Linked DNA regions of Diceros bicornis minor. The protein of the gene in region 2 interacts with the protein of the main gene of each other region in a pairwise test. Links are inferred from orthologs where the notes say so. Each region holds a gene or a part of one and is shown on either strand. Other genes may lie near its edges. The genes, in order: GFER and BNIPL.

Region 1 (11,798 bases), on a different chromosome or scaffold from region 2:
TGGTAAATAGGCAGGCTGGTTGAGTTCTTGGATCACAGAAAGAGCTGGGATTCAAACTCAGGTCCCTGCCGTGCCATCCACGTGGACAAACGGTGATGCCTGACAGAACCCATCCCAGGGGAGGTGTGGCCAGAGGTGCTGCCCACCAGTCTTGCGTCAAGTCCCTCACACTGTGGGTCCAATCCCGTCACCTCTCACCTGTCAGCGACAGTTGGCCCTCTGTCTCGTGCATCATCCTTTTACTTGATCATTTGCGTTAGCACCCCAACATGCTACGCTTTCTTCTCTTAAAAACAAACCTCCACTCTTGACCCCACTTCCCCTCCAGCTGTCCCAAGTCACTGCTCCCCTTAGTCCAGGGGCAGTTCAGACACTGCCCTCCCCACCTTTCTGGAAATGCTTCTGATGTCACCCTCTCCTCGAGTTCCTCCTACTTCATGGGCCCTTTCTTGTCACCCTGTTCTGATTCCTTCCTCTTGTTCCACCTGTGACCTTGAAGCTGTAGTGGCCCCAGGGCGTGGTCTAGGGGCTCTTCTCCTCCCTCTATGCTCACTCCCTTGGTCTACGTGCTGACAGCTCGAGCCAGAACATTCCCTTGAACTAGAGCCCCACTTGTCTTAGCGTGGATGCCCTGGCAAAGTCTGTGGCAAAGTTAAGAGTTTTATTGGGGGTGAAACTTCGGGGAAGCCCGAGTTGGGGGAAAAGGGAAATGAGGCGGGGCAGGAGGGAGGACAAATACGGGCAGTATGTTCCTGAGCGAACCACAGGGAAGGCCAGGGAGAAGCCCTGTGCTGGGGACAGTCCATCTGGGAGAGGAAGGAGTGACTTCTGTGCTGACTGCTCCCCACCTATTTGTGTCACCCAGCCCCTCTGGGAAGCCCCTGCAGAAGCCAGCACCCCTGTGGGGCCAGTTGGGTGAAGGAGCTGAGGAGGCCAGGCCAAAGGCTGGCCTGTGCCTAGGGAGAGGCGGAGGCGCCGTGGGGATATAGGTGACCAGAGCTTTATGACCACAGGGACGGGGCACACTTGCTGGGCCACTCCAGCTGGGAGCCAAGGCCTGGGAGCAGGTGTGGCTGAGTGGATCCGGGCAGGCCCCAAAGCAGGGTCTAGGTCACCCCCAAACCTGCTCCACTTACAGCCTTCTCCATCTCCCTGCTACACAGAACAGCTCCACCCTTCCAGCTTCTCAGGCTGGAACCCTGAAGTGACCTTTGGCTCCTTTCTCTTGGTTCTACATTCAGAGTCTATCCACTGTCTTCTCCATCCGACAGGGCGAGCTTCCCTCTTAGCTGCCGCAGGGGTGCCTGCCTCATCCCAGCTCAGCAGCCAGAGAGAACTTTCAAGTCACATCTCACCTTTCCTTGGCTCCAAGTCCTCCAAGACCTTCTTGTGACTGAAGCTGGATGTTAAAACCACATCCTTGCTGGGGCCTTGAAGACCTCGTGCCATCTGACCTCCCTCACCTCTCTGACCCTCCCTCGGCTCCAGCAACTTGGCCTCCTTGCTGTTCCTGGAATATCCTGGTCCACTCTTGCCGTGGGACCTCTCTTTCCTCCTAAGGAGCCAGAACCCAGACAGGAGGAAGCAGCTGACCACAGAGGACGAGGGCAGACCCTGTCCATCGCTGCAAGTCCCAGCACAAAACACACTGAAGCCAGGTCCTCAGTCACTTCTCCAGCACTTTATTTTGGTCTCAAGCTTCAAGGAAGCTGGCCCCATGAAGCCTCTGACAGGCCTGGTGCAGCTAGCGAAGGCAACGTGCTAGATGGGAGGCAGGCAACAGGGTCGGTGGACCCTCGGAGAAGAGCCCTGCCTGTGCTTTCCCTGTAGACTGAGCAGCGTAGAGAGCTCTCCCCCAGCCCTCTTTCCTGAAGTGCAGAGCTCGCACAGTCTCTGGGGCTACAGTCACTGCAGCTGTCCCCAGCTACATGGGAGGGGAGACAATGGCCAGGCCTGGCAGGGCAGCCCAGCCAGACCTGTCGCCGTCCTGTGGGAAAGTGGGCGCCAGGGTGTGGAGTGAGCAGGAGGCCACATCCTGAATGGAAGGGACAGTCTGGGCTGCTCCTGCCTCCTTCACCTGCAGCCCCACTGGGCCTCAGCTGAGGCGGCGGCCATCAGGGTACCTGCGCAGACACTTCCACTCCTACTGCAAATGTGGGAGGGAAAGGGCCCTGTGGGCAGTGTCTGGGGACCACCTAACTGAGACACGACAGGCTCTGGCTCTGACACACTTTAATGAGTGCCTTTCCCCTCTCCAGCCGGGCTGCCCACAGGCCCTGGCTGGCTGCCCCATGGACTCCTGCTGGCTGCCGTCTAGTCGCAGGAGCCGTCCTTCCAGCCATCACGCCAGCGCTCATCTACTTGCGAGCAGTCGAAGTCTGGCTTGCCTAGCTTGCGGTTCACCTCGTTGTGCAGGCGGCACAGCCACTGGGTGAAGCATGCGCGCGTGCGTGTATCTGGCTGGTTCCTGTGTATCCTGCATGGGGGGAGCAATGGAGGATGGGGGAGGCAGCGGGCCCCCTGCCCCTGCCCCACTAGCTCCTTGCCTGCTCCACCCAGGGAGGCGAGCAGGAGCGCTGCAGTGAGCTACACCCAGAAGTGCCCTTGTGCTGAGGGACAGGAATTCCCCAAACAGGGCGGACCCTGTGACACCCACCTGGGGAGCTTGGCAACCCTGACAAGAGCCCAGGGCAAGTCATTAAGGCACAGACCAGGCAACTTTACAACCTCAGAACCATTAGGAAGCCTCACCCCAGTGTCCTTTGCCCTGGGCAGTGTATGGAAGGGGTAGAGCCAGCACAAAGGCATAACTGAAAACCACACCTGTTTCTTAGCACCTGGGGCTCTGGAACCTCAGCTCAGTAAGAGACCTCATTCTAATTGCTCAGGCTTCAAAAGGCAAGGGCAGCCCTGCCCCACACATCCAGCCCAGAAACACCTAAGGGTGCCAAACAGCGGCTCTTAGGCTCCCCAGCGAGAAAAAGGTGGCTCTTGGAAGCAAAAGCTGTGGATTCTCAAGGTCTTGAAACCAGCAGTCCTGCTCCAGAAGTCAGGCAAAGTGAAGTCATCCTTAACCTGCAGGAGCCTCCATCAGTGCTAAGCAAGGGGTCTCATGGGGGAAGCCCTCCCCGGGAGCCCTGTGGCTGCAAAAGCACCCGGCAGTAGACCCAGGCTGCTTGGCCTCTACAGGGAAAGGAGATGGCTCAGATGATCCAATCCCCACTCTGTTGGTGGTCCCCGCTGTCCGAAGCCCTCTGCCACCTCTGCACCTATTTCTCTAGGTTCCCCTTTATGACATCAGCCAGGGGACCCAGGCTCCAGGTGGCATGCTCTCCTGCCTGCAAATGATGCAGACGTAACTTACCTCTTCCTTATGTCTTCTGCACACTCCTCACACGGGTAAAATTTAGAAAATAAATGTATGAACTGGGCCATGTCTTGCTGCTGTTCTGGGGTGGGCAGGTCCGGGTAGTAGGCGGCCAGGGTGTGAAGGACAGCCCAGCTATGGCGACCCAGTTCCTCACGATCCTGAGGACAATCTTCTCTAAACTTGCTGTCCTGCTGCGGAAGGAGACCGACCAAAGGTCAGTTCAGTCTCCCCCGACCAGAAGCCCACAAAGCTCCTCTTTTTCCCACCCTAGCCGGAAACCTATTGACTCGAGACAGAAATCCTGCAGCCGATCTGGCCCACGTGTGGCTGAAAGCTGAAAGGCCAGGCCCACCTTGGGGTTAGGACTTAGTGACAGGCAACCCTGGTAAGCATAAGTCTGCAGGCATGGGGCCTGTGGGACCGCTCGGCCTGGGCCTTGGGAGGTCTGCCCAGGGCGCCTGAGAACAAGGTGTGGGGGCCGGGGCTAGGGGTCGGCAGAGCTCGCGGGCCTCTGCGGGAGGTGGCACCCCCGGGCATCTGAACCTTCTGCTGCGTCCGCATCCAGGTCTTGAAGTCTACGCAAGCCCGGCAGGGCCGCCTCTGGGAGGTGTCCTCGGCGACCTGAGAATCGGTCGGCGCCTGGGCTGGCGTCGGGGCTGAGGCGGCGGCATCTCTCCGCCCCGCGCCCCGGCCGCGCGCGTCCGTCACTAGGTCGTCCATCACCTCGGAGCGCGCGCCGCCAGGCAAGAAAGAGAAGAGGTTCCCGCCGTAGAAGCGCCTCCCCTCCCCGGGCGCCGCCATGTTGCCCGCGCAATGCCTGCCGGGCCAGCTCGGTCTCCAGAAGGGCCTCCAAGTCGGCCTCCAGGCCAGCGCGCGCGCCGCCGCCAGGGCGCGGCCACAGGAGCTGGGCGCAGGCGCGGGGGCTTGGGCCGAGTTGGGCGCGGGGGCGGGGCCCGGAGCCGGAGCCGGAGCCGGGGCGGGGGCCGGCGTGGAGGCGGGGCCGGGAGCTGCGGCCCGCGCCCGAGAGGAGGCGGAGCTGGAGGCCGGGGTTCGGGCCAAGGACGCACCGCAAGCCCGGGCCAGGGTGGAGGCGGGGCCGGTGGCCCGGGCCGGGGCGGAGGCGGGGCCAGAGGCCCGGCTCTTGGCCGCGCCCCTGGGCCTCGTTCCGCGGCCCGAGCCCGGCTTGCGTCGTCCGTGGCGGCGCTCCCGCTTTCTCCAGTAGAAGATCAGCGTGTGGTGGAAGCCGCGCCGCGGCTGCGCCGAGGACTCGGACGGCGGCCCAGGCGCCGTCCGTGTTGCAGCCCGCGACGGCCCCATCACTCCGCTCTGACCCGTCCGCGTGCCCGCAGCCAGGCTTTGTGCCCTCAGCTGGGGGCGCGCCCAGCGGCAGGCCGCGCGGTGCCATGGCAACGCGGGCAGGGCCCTGAGCGCACAGAGGACCGCGCTCTAGGACCCGGGTCCCACGGATCTGCCCTGGCGACCGGCGCCATGGCAACGAGCGCCTGGCAACGCTGGGAGGGGCGGTGCCGGCTGAGAACTCTGCGCGTGTCTCGGCTGCCGGGGGCACCGAGCGGCCCCGGATCATTAACCTGCATAAAGGGGTTACACCCACGTCGGGAGTGTCCTCAGGTATACCTTTGCTTCCATATGTACATTCATTCATTCCGCAAATATTTGTGTAATGCCTAATCTGTTCCAAGCACTGTTACAGGCGCTGGGCAGGGCGGGGCACAAGATCTGTCCCTGACCTGCTCAGTTCATAGTGTGGGGGATTAGAGTTGGCCACCCCAAAATGTGTCTCTTTGGCGTGAGGGTTATTTTGGGCTGATGAGCATTATTACTTTAAAAAACTGCAGACATGGGAGAAACTCTGAAAAGTAGAATTTACCCTTTGTAGGAGACATTTACATTTGTAAGGGAAATCTCCATCTGTAAAGGTATCTCCCTCTTTGTATCAGGAAGAAGAGGGGATGACCTTATCTCTAGCAACTCATTCATGCAGAAGGCAAGGACTTAAATCTGCATAATAACCTTACTCTTGTTTACTGTGCTTTTCTGGTAATCTCCCATAACTGACCCCCACCCCCCCAGCCCGGCCCCCAACTGTCTAAAAGAAATTTAAGATAGAAGGCCTGTCCCCAGGACAGGCCATCACCATAGATAACTCTAGATATCAGTAGACTGGGAGGGTCCTTGCTAAATCCATTCTTATCAAAGTTCTGTTTACCAAACATTTGCTTTTCCAGTTCCATGTGAATTGTTTTCCTCCCCTTTGAAGTCCCAAACCACTGCCCCCAACATCTTCCTTTGTCTTTAGCTGAAGATGGTATTTAAGATGAGAGCCTCCACCATTTTGTGGAGTTACCCAGTTTTTCCTGGGTCTCTACCATGTATACGTGTTATAAAGCTTTGTTTAATTTTCTCCTGTTATTCTGTCTCATGTCAATTTAATTCATACTCCAGCCAGAAGCACCCAGAGGGTAGAGGAAATCTCTTCTCTACAATAGTCCAGTCAAGACAGAAAAAACAAAAACAAAAATAGGAGTCACCATAGTAAATGTTCACTTACATACTGTGATGAGGGCCATGAATAGGGCATGGTGAATTGGGGAGGCTTCCCTGAGAATGAGGAATCAACTGAGGAGGGCAGTCAAGGCTGAAGCTGGAGGTGGGAGGGCCTTGGCCTCTTGCATGGGCAGAAAGGCCAGTGGGGCAGGACCTGAGGAGGGTGGTGGGAGGGGAGGTCCAGAGGTGGCCAGAGGCCCACCAAGGACCTCATAGGCTACCATGGGAGCTAGGAATTTATTCTAAGGACAGTAGGAAGATGCTGGACAGTTTTGGGCAGGGCTACACCAACCTGCAAAATCTCTTTTGCAGATTCCTCTGGAGAGTGGATTTCATGGGACCAAGTGAGGAGCGCAGGCATTGGGGGAGGGGGCTGTTGTAGTTGTTCAGGTGAGAGATGAGGGTAGGGAATATGGAGAGGGTAAGAGTGGGAAGGACCAAGGATTGCTGAGGGTGTGGAGCAGGGTCTGCCCATTGAGGGAGGGAGGGGACCTCAGAGTCCTTCTAGGTCCCTGGCTGTGAGCAAACTGGCTCTTCCCCACCTTCTCTCCTCTGTCTTCCAGGGGAGCAGAGTCTGTTCCACCCTGGATCCTGCCAGGCCAGCAGAGCCCTCAGGCCCTCAGCGTGGCTCCTCTGAAGTTCAGGAGAGTGTGACAGCCAGGCAAGAGGCACTCTGCGAATCAGGCCTGTGTCAGCAGGTGTTCATTGCCTAGGCCAAGACCAGGGAAGGTTTACAGGTTCAGAGAGAGTCACTGGTCAGACAGACAAACAAAGGCCCTCTGTCAAGGCCAGAGTGGTTTCCTGGAGGGATGCCCTAGAGTCTGACCCCTCCCTGGAGGACTTGGAGTAGGGGGAATCCCAACACAAAGCTGGTGGCCCCAACAGCAGGAAGAACCACTGTGCGCCAGGGTTGGCTGGGGCTCTGGAAATCACCCCTATAAGGAAGCAGTCCAGAGAGGTGAGGCACCTGGGCATGCCCTCTTTGGGGATTCCAGGATATTCCCCTCACCACCCCAGTTAGTGAGGGAATGGTCACTCCTGATCTCAGAGGCAGTGTTTGCAGGTAATTGTGATAAATCATGAATTAGAGGCAGCTCTCAACAGTCCTAGTCACCACCTCCCCCAACCCCCAAGTGTGGGTGACTGCAGAGATGGACCCTCTTCCTCCTGCCTTGTCTGCACCACAGGGGAACCTCTGAGGTGAGCCTGTGAGGTCCGACCCTCCCCAACACAGACAGAAAAACTGACATTAATTATCCATTTAACACAAATTTCCTCCTCTCTGACTTGAGGACACTAAGAGACCTTTCCTCCAACGTGAGGATTAAGCCAAATAAGGCACTTAAAGCCCTTAGCACTGGGCCATTGTTTCCTGATGACAACTGCAGTCAGCTCCCCAGGTGGGTTCAAAGACAGAGCCAGCGGAGGCATCCCCTGCCCACAGGCTCTCAGCAGCCCCAGCACTGCATGGGGCGTGGACAGGCGGGAGGGGTGGGCCAGGCCTGGGGGCCCTTTGATGGCTCTTCCTTCTCCTCCTCCTCCTTGGCGGACGGGAAAGAGGGCCTCAGGCAGCAGTCCTGGCACCTCCACCACCTCTTCCCTCCCCCTCTCACCAGCTCTGCCTTGGGCACCCCCCGCGCCCTGTGCTCCTGCCCCTCCACCCAGATCTTTGGCTTTGGGCACAGCGAGGAAGCTGCGAAGAACCGAGGAGCAGGGCAGCACTGCAAGGACCTGGCAGGTCTAGGGCGTTGCTGGGGAATTCCAACCAGTCTTCCGGGTGCGGGGGATCCCCCTCCTCTGAGAGGGTAGGGAGGCAGCGGGCTCAAGAAGCTGGCGACCGGGACTCAAGAGGCCACAGCGATGGCAGGCCCCCGGCACCCCGTGTCCGTGCGCGCTGCGGCCTTGGTGCAGACAGAGCGGTTCCAGGTACAACCCGACGGGGTCCCCGCCGGCTCCAATGGGGAGGGAGAGAGTTCTCGGCCCAGCCCCTTGGAGACGCCCGCAACCTTTCCTCCAACAGACGTTCGCCTTCTCTGTGCGCTGGTCGGATGACAGCGACACCTTCGTGCGCAGGAGCTGGGACGAGTTCAGGATGCTTCATGTGAGTGACCCTAGTTCCCCAAACCGGCCTCCTAGTGTATGACCCACCAATGACCCCCACCTGAGTGCCTGCCTTCTCGGGCTCCCAGCCCTTACGATCCCGGCAAGGGACCCCCGCCCTCCCAAGGGAACCCGCTGGGCTCTTGGAGACTGATACGCCTCTTCTCGCCCTCAGAAGACCCTCAAGGAAACCTTCCCGGTGGAGGCGGGCCTGCTGCGGAGATCCGACCGCGTTCTCCCCAAGCTTCCGGGTCAGGCCGGCAGGAATCCCGGGAGGGAGCGGGAGCGGCAGCGGCAGCGGCAGCGGCCGCGGCCTGGTTGGGGGAGCCCTGGGGCCGGGTCCCATGGTCTGTCCCTGTTGCGCCCGCAGACGCATCGCTGTTGGCGCGCGGCAGGCGCACGGCCCGCGGCCTCGCGCGCCTGCGGCTGCTGGAGAACTATTTGCAGACGCTGCTGGCGGCGGCGGAGCGTGTGTCCCGCAGCCCAGCGCTCACTGCCTTCTTCGCGCCGCAACCCACAGACCTGGATCCCGCGCTGCCGCCTGGCAGGTGTCTGACCCTCTCCCAACTCCCTGCCCGCGGAAGCATTTGGAGGACTGGGGATGCATGGCGGAGGGTCTACCCAGGAGCGAAGGCTAGGAAGGGGCGGGCCAATCCCCACCCACCCACCCACCTCTCACCTGCGCCCGCCGTCCTTCCCAGCCTAGTGATCCTGCCCACCCCCGAAGAGCCCCTACCCCGCCCCACGAGCAGCCTCGCCATCCGCAGCCTGGAAGCTCAGACCCTGCGCTGCCTGCAGCCTTTCCGCACCCAGGACACAAGGGATCAGCCCTTCTACGCGCAGGCCCAGGAGGCTCTGGACGTGCTGCTGCGCCACCCCTCAGGTGGGGCCAGGCAGAGGTCCAGGAACTCGCCCTTCTGCCCCTGGGTTCCCAGCGGGCCTCCAGATCTGAATCCTCGCCCACCTCTTGCACACAGGCTGGTGGCTGGTGGCGAATGAAGACCAGCAGACAGCATGGTTTCCTGCTCCTTACCTGGAGGTGGCCCCGCGCCAGGGGCGAGAGGGGGGCCAGCCTCTAGGGAGTAGTGGTATGAGACTAACCCTCCTCCTCACACCACCACCACCACTGGGAAGTATGCGCAGGGCTGGGTGGGCCACAGGAAGCACCGGAGCCAGGGGAGTGAGGTGGTGGGACAACTAGGTGGTGGCAGCAGCCCCACAGTGTGTGCTTGGTCCCCACAGCAAGCAGAAGCCCCAGTGGGTTTGAGTGGTCCGGTGTGTCCTCAGAGATCCAGGGGAGAGCCTGGGGGTGGTGACTCACCGGGAGATGATTAGGGGACTGAGAAGTGGGGGTCACGGCCTCTGCGGCCCTGTGGTGACCCCCAAGCACCCACTCCCAGGGTCCCAGTTCTGTGCTTCCTGCGCCTACGAGAGCAGACAGGCTGATGAGCTGTCAGTGCCCGCGGGGGCGCGCGTGCGTGTGCTGAAAACGTCAGACCGCGGCTGGTGGCTGTGCAGGTGTGCGGGCGTGGGGCTTTGGCTGGGGCCCAGGCTAACCGCAACCAGGCATGTGCTAACCAACTCCTGCCTTTCCCGCAGCTTCCATGGTCGCACCGGTCTTCTCCCCGCTGTGCTGCTTCGGCCCGACAGGCTGGGTGCACTCCTGAGCCGCCCAGGGCTCCACTGTGGGGCTGACAGTGGGGAGGACAGCGTGGGGGAGGCCCAAAGCTCCCCTGAGCTTTTCCAGGCCACGACCCTTCCCCCTACGGTGCCCGCCCGACCCCTACTGAGTGCCATACAGAGCCACTGCTGCACCATCACCCGTAGGGCACTGGAGCGGGACCTAAGGGGTCAGGGACCCCTTTGAAGGTGTGTGGAATTGCAGAGAGGGCTGCACTGTGCACCCCACAGCTGGAGCTGCAGGAAAGAGGCTCCAGACCCCCAGGATGACTGATGGCAGCCATACCACCCTCAGGGCTGCGGAGGAGCATTTGAGGGTGGGACTCCCTGGCTGGCAGGGCCAGGAGGCTATTTCCTCTGAGTAAAGCTCTTCTGATTGACCCACACCCCGTGTCTGTGCTGAAGGGCAGGGCCTGTTGGATGGTGGCCAGGCCAGGGCACAGGGATGGGGCTGGCTGGTGGCCCACCCTCAGAGTGGCCAAGGCTGTGCCCTAGACCTGGGGTAGGACAAAGCCCAGACAAAGAAAGGGAGCTGGGGTAGAAAAGTACAGCTTTCTGCATGTTTCAGAGGGCAGAGGGGGCAGCAGGGAGGGTGGGCAGCTTCATGTTGTGCCAGAGGAAGTCCAAGAAGGTGGCTGCCTGCAGCGTCCGGCTGAGCCGCTGAAAGTGTCGCTCTGGGGGAGGACAGCGGGCTGTCACGGGGTCCACGGAGTCTGGCTGGGCTGCTCCCTGCCCCCACCCAGGGCTGTGCCCACGTACCGGTGTAGGGCAGCAGGGCCTCAAGGGAGGCCCGCACACCCTCGTAAGCCAGCAGCTCTTCTGGGGCCTCGTGCCTCAGCAGCACGCCCAGCACAGCCTGGGCTTCATGGCAGTGCCTTGAGTTGGTGTTCCATGTGACACAGAAACGCAGCAAGGCCTCTGCAGGTGACAAGGATGGTCAAACCTGTCCTGCAGGCCACTGCACCCTTGCTAGTCACCTTCCAGCCCCCGCCTGCCTGCCCAGACCTTTTTGGTCTCGCCGCAGTTGGAACACTGTGGCTTCCAGCTTCTCGCAGGCCTCAGGGTCCCTCCGGATGGCTGTTGGAGGAGGGAAGACTGAGCCCCAGGGAAGGGGCATGACGGACCCCTGAGACACCCCCCCACCGTCTGTCTGGCCCCTGAGGCAGCACTGACCCTGGATAACAGTCAGCACAGTGTGCGGCCGGTCTAAGGAGATGGCGAGGCCCAGCGCCCGCAGGTATCGCTTCTCCTGGAGCAGGTTGTCCAGTTCTTGCTGCCTGGTGGGAAGGAGAGAGGACAGGCTACTGGGGTACCTGGCTGGGGCTGAAGAAGAGCCATCAGGAGGCTGGCTCAGGAGCCAGCAGCCCAGGCCTGAACACCCACTGGTGGTGAGCTGTGTCACCGCTCCGAGCCTCAGTTTCCCCATGCCATAAAGCAGGGGTGATGCTGATACACACTACCCTGGGAGCGGGGGGGTCATGCTAACACACGGAATGTGTCAGAGACATGGATGACATTCACAGAGGGGCTGGGTGGGGACCCCCAGACTTACCTGACCACCTGCTCCTCCTGCTTGGCCTGCTCCTCTGCCTGCTCCACCTCGGTCACATCCTAGTGTCAGACTGGAGTCAGACTGGCACCCCAACACTGCCCTACCTGCTCCACTCTCCAAGCCCACACACCTTCCAGAGAATGACACAGGAGTCACTGGCACCAGTGAGGGCACGGTCGTCCAGCCGGTTGCAGTGCAGCCCCCAGACCTTGTCCTCGTGGGCATCCAGCGTCCGCACACACTCGTTGTTCTTGATGGTCCAGAGCTTCACAAGCCCGTCAGAGCCACTGGGTTTGGAAATGGGAGGCGGCTCAGTGCTGGGGACTGTCCCTCAGCTCTCTCCAACACCTCCTGCCCCCAGCCCACTCACCTGGACAGCAGCTGTGTGCCACGGCTCACAAAGGCCACCTTCAACACAGAAGCATCGTGCCCCTCGAACGTCTGCAGGGTGGGGAGGAGGAGGTTATGAGACGTCACTGAGTGGGGGGGCCAGGCCTGGGGTGAGGGAAGCTTACCTTGAGGCAGCTGAAG
Region 2 (11,716 bases):
TGGGTTTACTCCTCATTCCTTTAACTGCAATCTCAGCTCCATCTATCTTGTTTAGTCCTCCATGCTCCTCATTTTTAGGAAACTCTCCTCTCAGAATTCCTCAGCGTGGCCTTCTCTACCCCATTTTCCTCCTGTGCCCCACTCTTGCCTAAGTCCTTTTTGTACACTTCTCCATCCCTCCATGACCAGGACTATTTATAAAACTCCAGGCAGAAGACCAGTGAGGAGAAAAAAAAAGAAAAGAAGCAAAAAGAAACAGAAAGTGAGCAATGGGAAGATGGGGGAAAGAAAGGAAAAAAAAGGAACATCAGGGGGAAAAAAAGACATCTGGGTCAGGGATGAAGGCAGAGAAGAAAAGAAGACAATGGAGATGTGGAAAGTGAAATAAATGGCAAGACTGTGAGATAGGCAGGGGTGCCTTCTATGTGCCAGGCAGTATGCCACATTGATTTTCACAAATACCCGGGGGCTAAGGTATTATCACTGCCATTTCACAGATAAGGAAACTGAGTCCCAGGAAGGTTAAGTGACTTGTCCAAAGTCATACAGCTAGTAAGTGGTGAAGGCAAGATTTGACAGTAGATTTCCCTGACTCCAAGAGAGGACAGAAGACAGAACAGGCTTGGAAAGGGGTGTAGAGGGACAAAGAAAAGAGGAAGGGACTAAATGGATGAAGAAAGGATGGAAAGATGGAAAAGAAAAAGAAAAGATAGAGAGTTGTAGCCCTCTCGTCCCAGAGGCTCACCGCCGATCCAGAGTGCGGTAACACTGGCGTATCCAGCTCAGAGGTGGAACCTGGGCCCTGCTTGTGCCTCCGCTCAAGTGAACAAGCAGATAATTTTCAGCTACCAGCAGCTCCAGAGTTCCTACCATATACCTGGGGGGACGAAATTGTCAGGGAAAGTATGTGTTTGGGGTTGTGGGGATTGAGAGAGACATTACTATAAACTCTACAATCAGCTACTGATCATGGAAGGGTTTTTTTTTTCCTTTTCCCTCCCTAACATCCACCCTGAAGCCCTTCAGGCCTTCCACCTCACCTAAACAAGTGTTCCATGACATAGGTATAGTTGGGGATGCTGCTTCTGGGTAGATAACAGGAGGCAAAGAGGATGACAGCATTGAGGCCATCACCATGGTAACCTGGGGAAGATAAGGGGAAAATTCATTCAGTCAACAAATATTTATTGACAGATAGTGCATTTAGGTTGAGGGACTCTGAGGGTCTCTGGAAGTTACAGGAAGGATTTTGAACCCAATAACTGAGTTTCCAGCTTAGGCAATTATTCAAGAAGTCACAGTTCTTACATCCTCCACTTATGCTATCCATTACCTCCATGAGATAGGACTTTTTTATAGGGCTCAATGACAGTCATGTCCACTCGCTGCTCCTGCTGTCCTGTTCGGAACACCCTCCAGTGATGACCATCTTCTCCAGCCACGTCCCACATACAACCCCGGCCCAGCCTTTCAGCTGCCTCACTGGCCCCCAGACCCTCTGCCTGGGGCAGCTCATCTAAAAGAGAGGGATGGGGAAGGATCAACAAGGCAGAATATATACCTTGAGTATCTTGTAACTTCTCCAGATTCCTAGAGTTTCTTACTCCAACCTCTCCTTCTTCAATTTTTTTCCGTGACTCTAGTTCTAGTTTGTCCAATCAACCCAACCCCTTGCTAGTTTCTTTCCTGCAACTCATTACCCTCACCTTTCCACTAGACAATAGCCCTGAGGTAACCTTGCCCTATGGCATGTTGATGGCCGTTGCGAGTATCAGCTTTTTCTGGATTCTTTATTTCCTTCTTCCATGCTTTTCCTTGGGTTAGTTCATCTAATCCCATGTCTTCAATTACCAGCAGGTAGGTGAGGATGCCAATTTGCCTCTCTAACCCAGACTTCTCTCCTAACTCCAGACCTATATCCCTAACTGCCTAGAGTGGACATCTCTATTTTGTGTCTCTCTGTCATCTCTGAGTTACCAGACCCAAAGTGCAACTCAGACTTATTCTCTTCCTCCTCTCTCCCATATTTCCTTTCTTGATGAACAACCCCATCCATCTAGCTGCCTGAGAGAGAATACTGTATGTCATCTGAGATTCTTTCTTTTCTATCAGCCCTGAAGCCAACTGGACCCGAGATCCCCTGCCATCTACCTCCATTATATTCTTTTATCATTCTTTCCACAACTACTGTCCTGGTTCAGGTTCTTAGCATTTCTCACCTGGCCTTAGTACCAGCCTCCTAACTGGTCTCCCCACCTCTAGTCTGTTTTCCTCCATTCCACCCTCTACACCACTGCTAGAGTAAGCTTTCTTTTCTCCTCTACCTTTTTTACTCAAATGGCAATACACCATACCCACTAATTCTGCATGATCTTTCCACAGCAATAGAAAGAGCTGCCTCATCTTAAAAAATAGTTGCCTAGTATTTAGTATTCCATTGTCGGATGCACCATAATAGAATTAATACCCTACTATGGACTTTTAGGTTGTTTCCAATCTTTTCAGAGCCATTAAATTTAATCATTTTACTCCCTTGATCAAAACCATTCAATGACTCCCCATTGCCTACAGGACAAAATCTAAACTCCTTAGCATGGTAGCAAGGATCTCCAGGATTTGACCCTTGCCTACTTAACATAGCACTACCTTTTGTCATTCTCCCTTCACCTCCCAGCCCTACATATCTGTGATATAATAATAAATATATATTTTGGCTTTGTCCCTGGTTCCTGAAACAGCTCTTGATAATAAAGGTGAAAGGAGTATCTTTTGTTATTTATAAAAAGCCCCTTGCAACGACTTGAGTTTCTGTTAATGAGGTGACTTTGGAAAGCCCCTAAGGATAGGTGGCTGGTTGACAGAGGAACCAACCATGTGATTAAAGAGTTGGAACTTCCACCCTCTGACCTCTGGGGAGGGGAGAGAAACTAGCGGTTGTGATAATCACTAATGGTCGGTGATTTAATCAACCATGCCTATGTATGAAGCCTCCATAAAAAACCTGAACTGAAGGTGTTCTGAGAACTTCCGGTGAACACATGGAGGTGCCGGGTGGGTGGTGCACCCCCAGAGGGCATGGAAGCTCCACATCCCTTCCCACATACTTTGTCCTATGCATCTCTTCCTTCTGGCTGTTCCTGAGTTGTATCCTCTTATAATAAACCTGTAATCTAGTAAGTAAACTGTTTTCCTGAGTTCTGTGAGCCATTCTAGCAAATTATCAAACCTGAGGAGGGGGTAGTGGGAATCTCTGATTTGTAGCCAGTTGGTCAGAAGCATAGGTGATGTCCAGAACCTGGACATGTGAGTGGTGTCTGAAGTCTGGGGGCAGTCCTGTAGGTGAGCTCTTAACCTGTGGGGTCTGCACTAACTCCAGTTAAATGTCATAATTGAATTGTAGGACACCCAGTTGGTGTCTGGAGAGTTGGAGAATTGGTTGGTGTGGGGAAAACCCACACATTTGGTGTCAGAAGTGTTGTAAGTAGAGAAGAAACAAAGTTTTCCTTAATATCTAAATAGTCATGCTAAATGCTTTAAATTCCCCAACATGCCATGCTATTGCTCAAGTTGCTTCTTCCACCTAGAATGTCTCTCCAACTACCTGATAAACATCAGCTCAGAATCACCTCTTCTGCGAAGTTTTTCCTAGCTCCTCGGGCAGAACTGACCTCTTCCTTCTCCCTGCCTACACTGTACTCTACACACATGTAGATCATAATATTTAACTGCACTTATTTGTAGATATGTTTATTTCTTACTAAACAGAGAATTCCCTGAGGGTAGGAACTATCTTATTCATCTTTATAACTCAGTTCTAGCTCAGTGATAACATGTAACAGTCATTCAATAAAATTATCCTTAATAAACAAAGGACACTCTCCCCCCGCCGACTACTCTCACATTGGATCTGTAGTTCTACCTTTCCATTCTGAAGAAATTAATTTTGCTGACCTTACCTCTTGGTCTCCACCTTATTAGTTCTAACTTCAGTCCCATTAAATCCATCCTGAGCTTCTTTAACACTGGCCTCTACTTCTACCAGTTCAGTCCTCAGGTTTCTTTCCTACCTTCCCATTCAAATTCATGTCCACTGTCCAGCTGCTCCGAGTCTGAAGGTGTCTCCAATTCGTCTACCTCCAGGTCAGAACTGCCATCAGTAGAGGAAGGTACAGAGTGGGTGGGAGAAGCTCCATTATCTCCAGGCCTCTTAGCCAGATTCAGTCTCAGCTCTGGGGCAGAAAGACGTTTGCGCATGCAGCGCCGGCCACACAAGGCTAAAGTGCTGGGGGTGCCTGGGGTTGGAGGAGGGAAGAGAAGAAAAGAAAGATGTGTGTTGGTGAGGGGAGGTCAGAATGCCTGTAAATGGAAGTGATAATATGGCGTGAATTCTAAAGAAGGACTAACACAGGGGACATTTGGGAAAAGGGAAGTAGAACCTAAAGGGATAAGGGTGGCATAACCCTTCACTGGACTAGAATCAAGAACTTGAGGCCTAGGTTCTAATTTACCTACCTGCCTGCAAGTCTCTTTTAGCATCTTCAGGATCTTCAGAAGGGTCAACCTCTTCAAGAAGCAATCTAGAGGGGAAAAGATTAAAAGGGGGCAGAAATATAGGCTAAAGTCATCAAGCCAGGTATCACTTTATTAATTTTCTCTCCCCACCATAATTTTATCATCTCCGCTTTCTTTTTGCCACCTCTTTCCTTCAAGTCCTAATTTACCATCCCTGCCCTCCATTTGTGACCATCCCCCCCCTTCTCCCAACCTCCCTCACACTTCCTTACCTAGGGAATTCTTCATCCTGCCATTCCTCCTTCAGCTCCAGTTCCCCAAGTCTTGGGGATGCTCCTAGTCCTGCTGCTTCTGCGTTCTCCCTGACCCTATGATAGACCCCCGGAAGAAAAGATTACCATGAGACAAAATAGGCAGTGTCTTAAGGGAACTGGAGAGTAGGTTGGAGACACTGGAATGAAGAACAGTAACTAAGGTACAGAGCAGAGGGCAGGCCTTCAAAAGAACTCAAGTCTCTTGTTTCCTAGATAGATGTTTCTACCACATTTACACTTGCTGGAAACAGATTACCCCAACTGCTGGGTTTAGGAGCAGAGGAAGGATGGAATGTAAAGCTAATCATATTTACTTCTACGGCAGTTGCTCCACCTACACAGTAGGGGTAAGAGGTATTCCACATTACAATTGGTTGGAACCTGACAGACCTGCCCAGCTGTCACTGGGCAAAGCTGGGGAAGATGGCACCTAGTCAGGCCTGCCTTTCCTCCGTCACGCTGGGGAGTGGTTAGGGGAAACCATGGCATAGGTAGAAGGGTGGGGGAGGAAGGTAAGGAAGAAGAGAGATTTGCTGGGAAGAAGAACCTGGACCTAAATTTAGTTCTGGGTCAGCTTTCCCGATGGTCATTATGGAGGGTGAGACAGAGAACAGGGGCAGATTTATCAGACATAATATATAGAAACTTCCTTTAAAAAGAAATAGGGAATTATCTGTAATCCTGTTCCCCAGCTCCCATACCATACTGACGTTTCCTACCCAAAGCCAACCCCATCCCTTCTCTGCAAATTAACTCGTTTACAGTCTTGTCTCCTCTAGCAACCTGAGATTTGACCTGTGAGAGCTGGATAGTGGGAAAGTCCTTCAAGACTATTCACTCCTCGCTTCCAATCAAGGTAGCCGAGATCTCACTTACCCAAGATCTAGTGTCTTTTCTCCTGTTTCTTGTATAGTTCCCATCTTCACCAGTCTTCCTGTTTCCCTCTTTAAACACTTGGAATTGTCAGGAAGCTGATTACCCCAGCTCCCCAACACTTCTGTACCCTTTTCTCTGTCTCAGCTGTTGTTGCTCTTGCCTCCAAGGAGGAGGGAGGGGTAGAAGGGAGGTAACTTCACCTTCAAACAGGTTTTGCCACCTCCATTCCCAAGGAGTAGGTTTGCCCAAAAGAAAAATCCTGCCTATGTGTGGGAGGGTTTTGGGGAAGAAAGTATATTTTCTAAAGTGACTAGTTTTAGGGGAGTCTAGGAAGGCAATTTGTTCTCCTTTCCAGACTCATCTTATAACCTGAAAGCTGCTCTTAAAAAAAAAAAAAAAAAAAAACCACAAAGGTAAAATTCATTTTGGTTTTAAGACTATTTTGGGCCTACTTTTTGAGCATAAGCAAAATCAGGGACACAGAAGTATGTTATAAGGAGGGTTCTAGAAGAAGAAACAAGTTAAAGGAAAGGCTGAGGATGACGGGAGATAGAAGACTGTTGCTCATTATTCCCACAAAGGGTCAACAGAAGGAAGACATTATGTACAGGAGGAAGAAGGGAGATGAATCTTGAGGAGGCTGAAACAATTATCAGAGGGAAAGCCTTGATTATAGTTGTAAAAAGAGGCAATAATAAAACCCCAAACAGGAAAAAAAGTATTTAATACTTTAACAAAATACAAAATAAAGTACCCAAGTTACAAAACATAAATTCCTTTGGTTCAGTAATCACACCACTATTTTTACCTTCCAATGGCTACACACATCATACCCTCAAAGTAAAGTCAGACTGTCCCCCACACACTAAAGACATCATGCCAAAACTATCACAGACCCTACTGTTCAGTGAAACCATTGGCAACTTACATGGAATAGAGCTGTGGGGTAGGAAAAGGGGGAACAGTTTGGTCTGAAGAAAAAAGGGAGACTCTACACATGCAGAACAAGTCAGTGGGAGGGAGCTCTTTGCTGGGTCACTATGTATGAATCATACCTCTGTACATGCTACATGAGGCTGAGTCTCTTGGTACAATCACATATAAATACAGACAATCCAGTGACCCTGAAAATTCCCAGGGAAAACAGAAAAAAAAAAATACAGAAAAGCAGAGGAGAGAAACAATGGCAGCAAGAGGCAGATCACAGAATACCAGAGAACATCTCGTCCAGATCCTTAGTTTTATAGATGGGAAAAATGAGACCTAGAGAAATGAAGTATCTTGTCAAAAGACACATAGTTCATGGCCGTCAGTATTAGAACTTCATGCTTCCTTTATTACTATGAGCAAGAAGAGAATGAGATGGACAAGAAATTGACTGATCCACCCAGGCAGGGGACAGAGCCAGGGCTCTCAATGCAGTTTTGCTGTCTTTTGTGAAGAGTGCCTATGAGGTCTTAAGGCCTTCCTGGGTGTCTCCTGAACTCTCAAGAACCAGGGGTCTTCTGGGTTTCTTCAGGGTCCCTGTGGCTCTGGGACAGAGAGATCCAAAGAAACTGAAAACCTGATCAGGACAGAAGATAATGGCCTCCAATCTGCTTCTAAACAATCCTGAGAGTCACAATAAGCTCAGAATAGAAATTTAGCCATCTCAGAATCAGACACCATCACCAAACTGGGGGCAGAAAGAGGAGTTATGGAGCTGGAAATCTGCTACAGCCTAAAAACTGGAATAAGTTTCTGAAGCACACTCTATTTTCTATCTAGCTTAAAGTAGGGTTTCAATAAATACTTGAATTACTAAGACAATAAATGAATACATGGAGACATGGATTCAATATATGAACGTTTGGTTCCATGAGAGATATTTGTTCTGGTAAAGAGCCTTACTGAGGGCACTTTTGGTGTACACATTCTTTTTGTGCTGCTCTGCTGGAACTGTGTATGTATTACATTGTGCCCTTGGCAAATGAAACAGAAGAGAGTCAATGTAGATTTAAAAATTTAAATTAAACAATAAAATTTGTCTGATTGGTAGAGATTAGGGGGACAAGGCAGAAAGCCATTCCTAAAGCAGCTGCTTTCTTCCAGTTCTCTCTCCTCCCAGGTTTATGAGAACAGTACACCAGATCCTGGAGCAATAAAGACAGAACTGCTGAAACATCTCAAAACATGCATTCGAGGTGGTTCAAGCAACCTCTCTCACTATCCCCTTCCCTCCCAACAGTCACTTCTTGGACAGGGAGGCAGCAGTAGAGCGTGACAGCGAGATCTGACTGCACTTCTCAAAGATGGCCTCAGCTGAGAGTTTAGGCAGCCCCTGATCCAGAGGGCACTCATCCACCAAGCTGTTCATGGGTGTGGGGGGCAGTGGAGGCTCCTCCTCATCTTGACTCAGTCCAGGCATCAGTGAGTTACCTGCCCTGTCCAATTCCTTGTCCACTTGCTCCCTGGACAAACCAACTGTCTCAGGCTGCCCTGAAGGGATCTTCATGGAGTCAAAATACTCTGACAGGGCTTCCTGGAGCAGAGGCAGAAGTTTCTTTCGAGAGACCTGGGTGTTGCCTTGAAGATAGGCTTGGAGGTTAGGGTGGGTGCTTGGGACAGGGGTCAGCTTCAGGGATGGAGAGTGGGAACGTTCCAGGGCTCCACAGATCTAAGGAGGAGACAAGACGGGGAAATGGTGTGTAAGGTGGTGAAGCAAAGAACTAAGACTTCTAAGTTAGAGGCTTCTCTTATAGAAGAGAAATTTTTTTTTTCATTAAGTCATGCAGAGTTCAGTTTTATTGCTTGCAATAAAAGGCACATCAGCTAATATACATAGTATTTCAGAAACAGAAGAAACACTTGAGATCATATATTTCATTTTGTTAATAAGTAAACCAAAGCTCAGAGAGATTAAGTGTTTTGAGCAAAATCATGTAGGTGATGGTAGAGTCTGAACCAGAACCCAAGACCCCCAGCTCCTAACCTAGTGTTGTTTCCAAGTGTATTCCTGTGCTCAAAAACTTGAACTCTATCCTTAGCTGGGATGGGACAAGCATCTATACTGAGGTCAGGGGAAGGATAGAGGCAGAAAGCATGCCTACATCAAACTGGGGCTGGGAGGTATGCCAGGCATGGTGCCAAGTCTGGTCATTTACAAATATTATCTCATTTAATCCTCACAACTACCTTATAGGATTGGTATTACTATTACCCTCATTTACAGGTCGGGAAACTGAGGCTTAGATAGATTAGGTAACTTGCCTAAGGTCATAGTTTGAATGAAGCAAAGGTGACACTTGAATCCATGTCTCTCACCAAAGCCGGTTGTTCTAAATCACTCTATTATACTATTCCTAACATAGAAGGAAGAGAGGAAATGGTAGGGCAGACCATGAAGAGGACTCTCATTTCCCAGCACAGAGGCAGCCTGGGCAATGGTAGAGTCATCAGATATCTGCACAGCTTCTGAGGAGCAGCACACAGGGGCTGTGCAGGGAGAAGGTGGGGAGATTTCGGAAGGTGGGGAGAGGCCCTTCTTATAGCCGAAGCACCCTCTCCTTCATGACATGATTAGTAAGAGGCACCATTTACTGAGTGCTTATTTTGTGCCCAGCAATGTACTTTACATATGATATTGTGTTTAATGATCATATCAGACTAATTAGTAGGTAATATTACACCATTTACAGACTCAGAAGTCAACTGACTTGCCTTAGCTCAAAGCGCTAGTAAGTGGCAAATCTGGGACAGAAAAGCATGTTTATCTGCCTTTAAAAACTGTAGTTCTTGGGCCAGCCCCGATGGCCTAGTGGTTAAAGGTTGGTGCGCTCCGCTTCAGTAGCCCAGGTTTGGTTCCCCAACTTGGAACCACGCCACTCATGTGTTAGAGTCCATGCTGTGGCAGAGGCTCACATTAAAAAATAAATAAATAAAAAAATAAAGAGGAAGACTGGCAACAGATGTTAGCTCAGGGCAAATCTTCCTCAGAAAAAACAAAAACAAAAACTGTAGTTCTTCCCACAATGGCAAACTACCTTCCACTGAATGGAGTTACATTTGCTTCCTGGAGAAGATAAAGGCAAAGAGAGGTGGGAAAGGGCGGACAAACATTTTAGGGGCACAAAGGATTATCTGGCTTTATTCAGACCAGTCTTCAGCAGTCTTCACATAGCCTATGCAACCCAAAGAGTCCCTGGAATGCCTTAAGTCCACATTTAAATTCTTTCCTGGGCTAATTAGTAACCAACAGAGGAAAAGAAAGGGGAGGGGGTAGGAAAGGTGGCCAAATGGATGATCAGAAAAGAAAACAAACCTGCTCCTGGATCACTTCTTGACAGAGTTAGCACTATACCGAGTAATTAGTCCCTGCATGATTAGTAGTAGAAAAGGTTTCTCTTGTTGTTTCCAACTTTCAAGGCAACAGGGTAGAAGATAGGAATTGATTTTCAGGGATGAGGAATTAATAATTAAACCAAGAATTGGTTAAAAACTCCAGATTTATAACATTTCCTTTTAACCGGAGTTCAAGTTCCTTCTAAGCAGGAATTGTATTTCTAATGGTCTTTGGCATCTCCTTTTCTCAACAACAGTATGATTAAGGATATTCACATAGAGAATGGAAAAAAGCGGGGAGGGAAGATTCTCGAAATAGGTCAAGGGATCTCTGTGTAAAGATAAGAACCAAGGAGAGGTGTTTACAGCACAGGGCAGCGTGTACAGGCTGAGCTCTGCATGGCCCTAAGGTTGGAGGAGGGACAGAGACTCACCGTCATTCGGAGCACTGCATGGGGACAGAAAACAGCCAACTGCCGCACTGGCTCATTGTGAGTGTTGAAAAAGATAGCCATGGCGACCAGGACATCATAGCTGTGAGCCTGGCAGAAGGCATGCAGATCTGCAGTGAGGCCAGACCTCTGCAGAAAGGCCTGAAAGAGAAGAAATGGACAGGGATGAGGGCTACAGCTGGACCCTCCTTGTCACCATCAACAAAAAAATGCTTATGAAGGGTTTCTTTGCATGTTAACCTGGGACTTGCACTCCACAAAAAACATATCTAATATTTATTCTGTGCTTTCTAGGTGCTGGGAGCCAGTATGTAGAATGGGGAGAATACAGGCTTTGGGTTCAAGCAGAGCTGGCTTGAAAATCAGCTCTATTACCTATCGGCTCTATGATCAAAGAGTTATATTAAGCTCCCCGGACCTAAGTTTCCTCATCTGTAAAATGGGGATAAAATATTTACCAAACATGATGGTTTTAAGAATTAAAAAATGATAATGTATGTAATGTGTATGGCATGTATAAGGCTCTCTTGCTCTCGCAATCAAACAGGCAGGGTCTTTGCCTTGTGGGTATTTTTATTCTAAAACAGAACAATGGGGCATATAAATAACAACAGACGTGACAACTGCATCCTTGGCTCTTCATTCTTTGCCAATCTATACTCTTCTCCAAAATCTCATGCAGTATTTCCTCCAACGAATAATACCACTAGCTGTTTCAGATCAGGGCTTTTCTCTATCCTTGGCATTTCTATTGTGTCAATTTGTACCGTGATTATGATACTTGGCAAGCCTTTTATGTTCTTATGTTTGTTTCCCAAACTAGCTTGTGAGTCACAAGGGAAGAGGCCATACTATTTTCTTTAATTATTTAGTATTTTTACATAGTATTTAGTAGAAAGCTGTGCAGACTATGAGAGTTACGTGTTCAAATCATGTCGAATGATTTAAACCAGTATGATATAGAATTAGGTATTAAAACACAATTATTATTATTGAGCATCCACTATGCGCCAGGACTGTCAAAGGTGCTGGAGATATAGCAGAAACAAAATAGGGTCCCTGCTCTGGTGGAGCTGATAAACTAGCAGAGGAATATAGATAATAAACAAGGAAATCATGAAACATTATTTCAGTGTGTTAAGTACCATGAAGAAAAGAAAATAAGATAATTGCTAAAGATTTTTAGCATGGAGGATATTACTTCAGTTAAGGTGGTCAGGACAAACCTCTTAAAGAGAGACA

The links.
Region 1: the proteins of BNIPL (region 2) and GFER interact in a two-hybrid assay, tested with the Homo sapiens proteins (2 studies listed by BioGRID and IntAct). The link is inferred for Diceros bicornis minor from reciprocal best matches to the Homo sapiens genes BNIPL and GFER.

The regions. Positions count from the first base shown.
Region 1 is NC_080765.1:46,422,285-46,434,082, forward strand, and holds GFER (FAD-linked sulfhydryl oxidase ALR), read right to left. Parts: upstream 4,297-11,798; 5' UTR 4,172-4,296; coding exon 3,914-4,171; intron 3,562-3,913; coding exon 3,365-3,561; intron 2,477-3,364; coding exon 2,314-2,476; 3' UTR 1,662-2,313; downstream 1-1,661. Other genes in the region: NOXO1 (NADPH oxidase organizer 1), read left to right, coding at 7,796-7,861, 7,956-8,036, 8,211-8,286, 8,406-8,583, 8,737-8,918, 9,013-9,123, 9,436-9,902; TBL3 (transducin beta-like protein 3), read right to left, coding at 10,280-10,389, 10,475-10,633, 10,721-10,792, 10,889-10,992, 11,268-11,326, 11,398-11,554, 11,638-11,708, 11,783-11,798.
Region 2 is NC_080743.1:55,357,960-55,369,675, reverse strand, and holds the start of BNIPL (bcl-2/adenovirus E1B 19 kDa-interacting protein 2-like protein), read right to left. Parts: upstream 4,900-11,716; 5' UTR 4,785-4,899; intron 4,695-4,784; exon of another isoform or gene 4,578-4,694; 5' UTR 4,513-4,577; intron 4,293-4,512; 5' UTR 4,255-4,292; coding exon 4,068-4,254; intron 1,517-4,067; coding exon 1,334-1,516; intron 1,144-1,333; coding exon 1,041-1,143; intron 878-1,040; coding exon 746-877; intron 1-745. Other genes in the region: exopolyphosphatase PRUNE1, read right to left, coding at 7,930-8,358, 10,457-10,615. UniProt on the Homo sapiens protein: May be a bridge molecule between BCL2 and ARHGAP1/CDC42 in promoting cell death.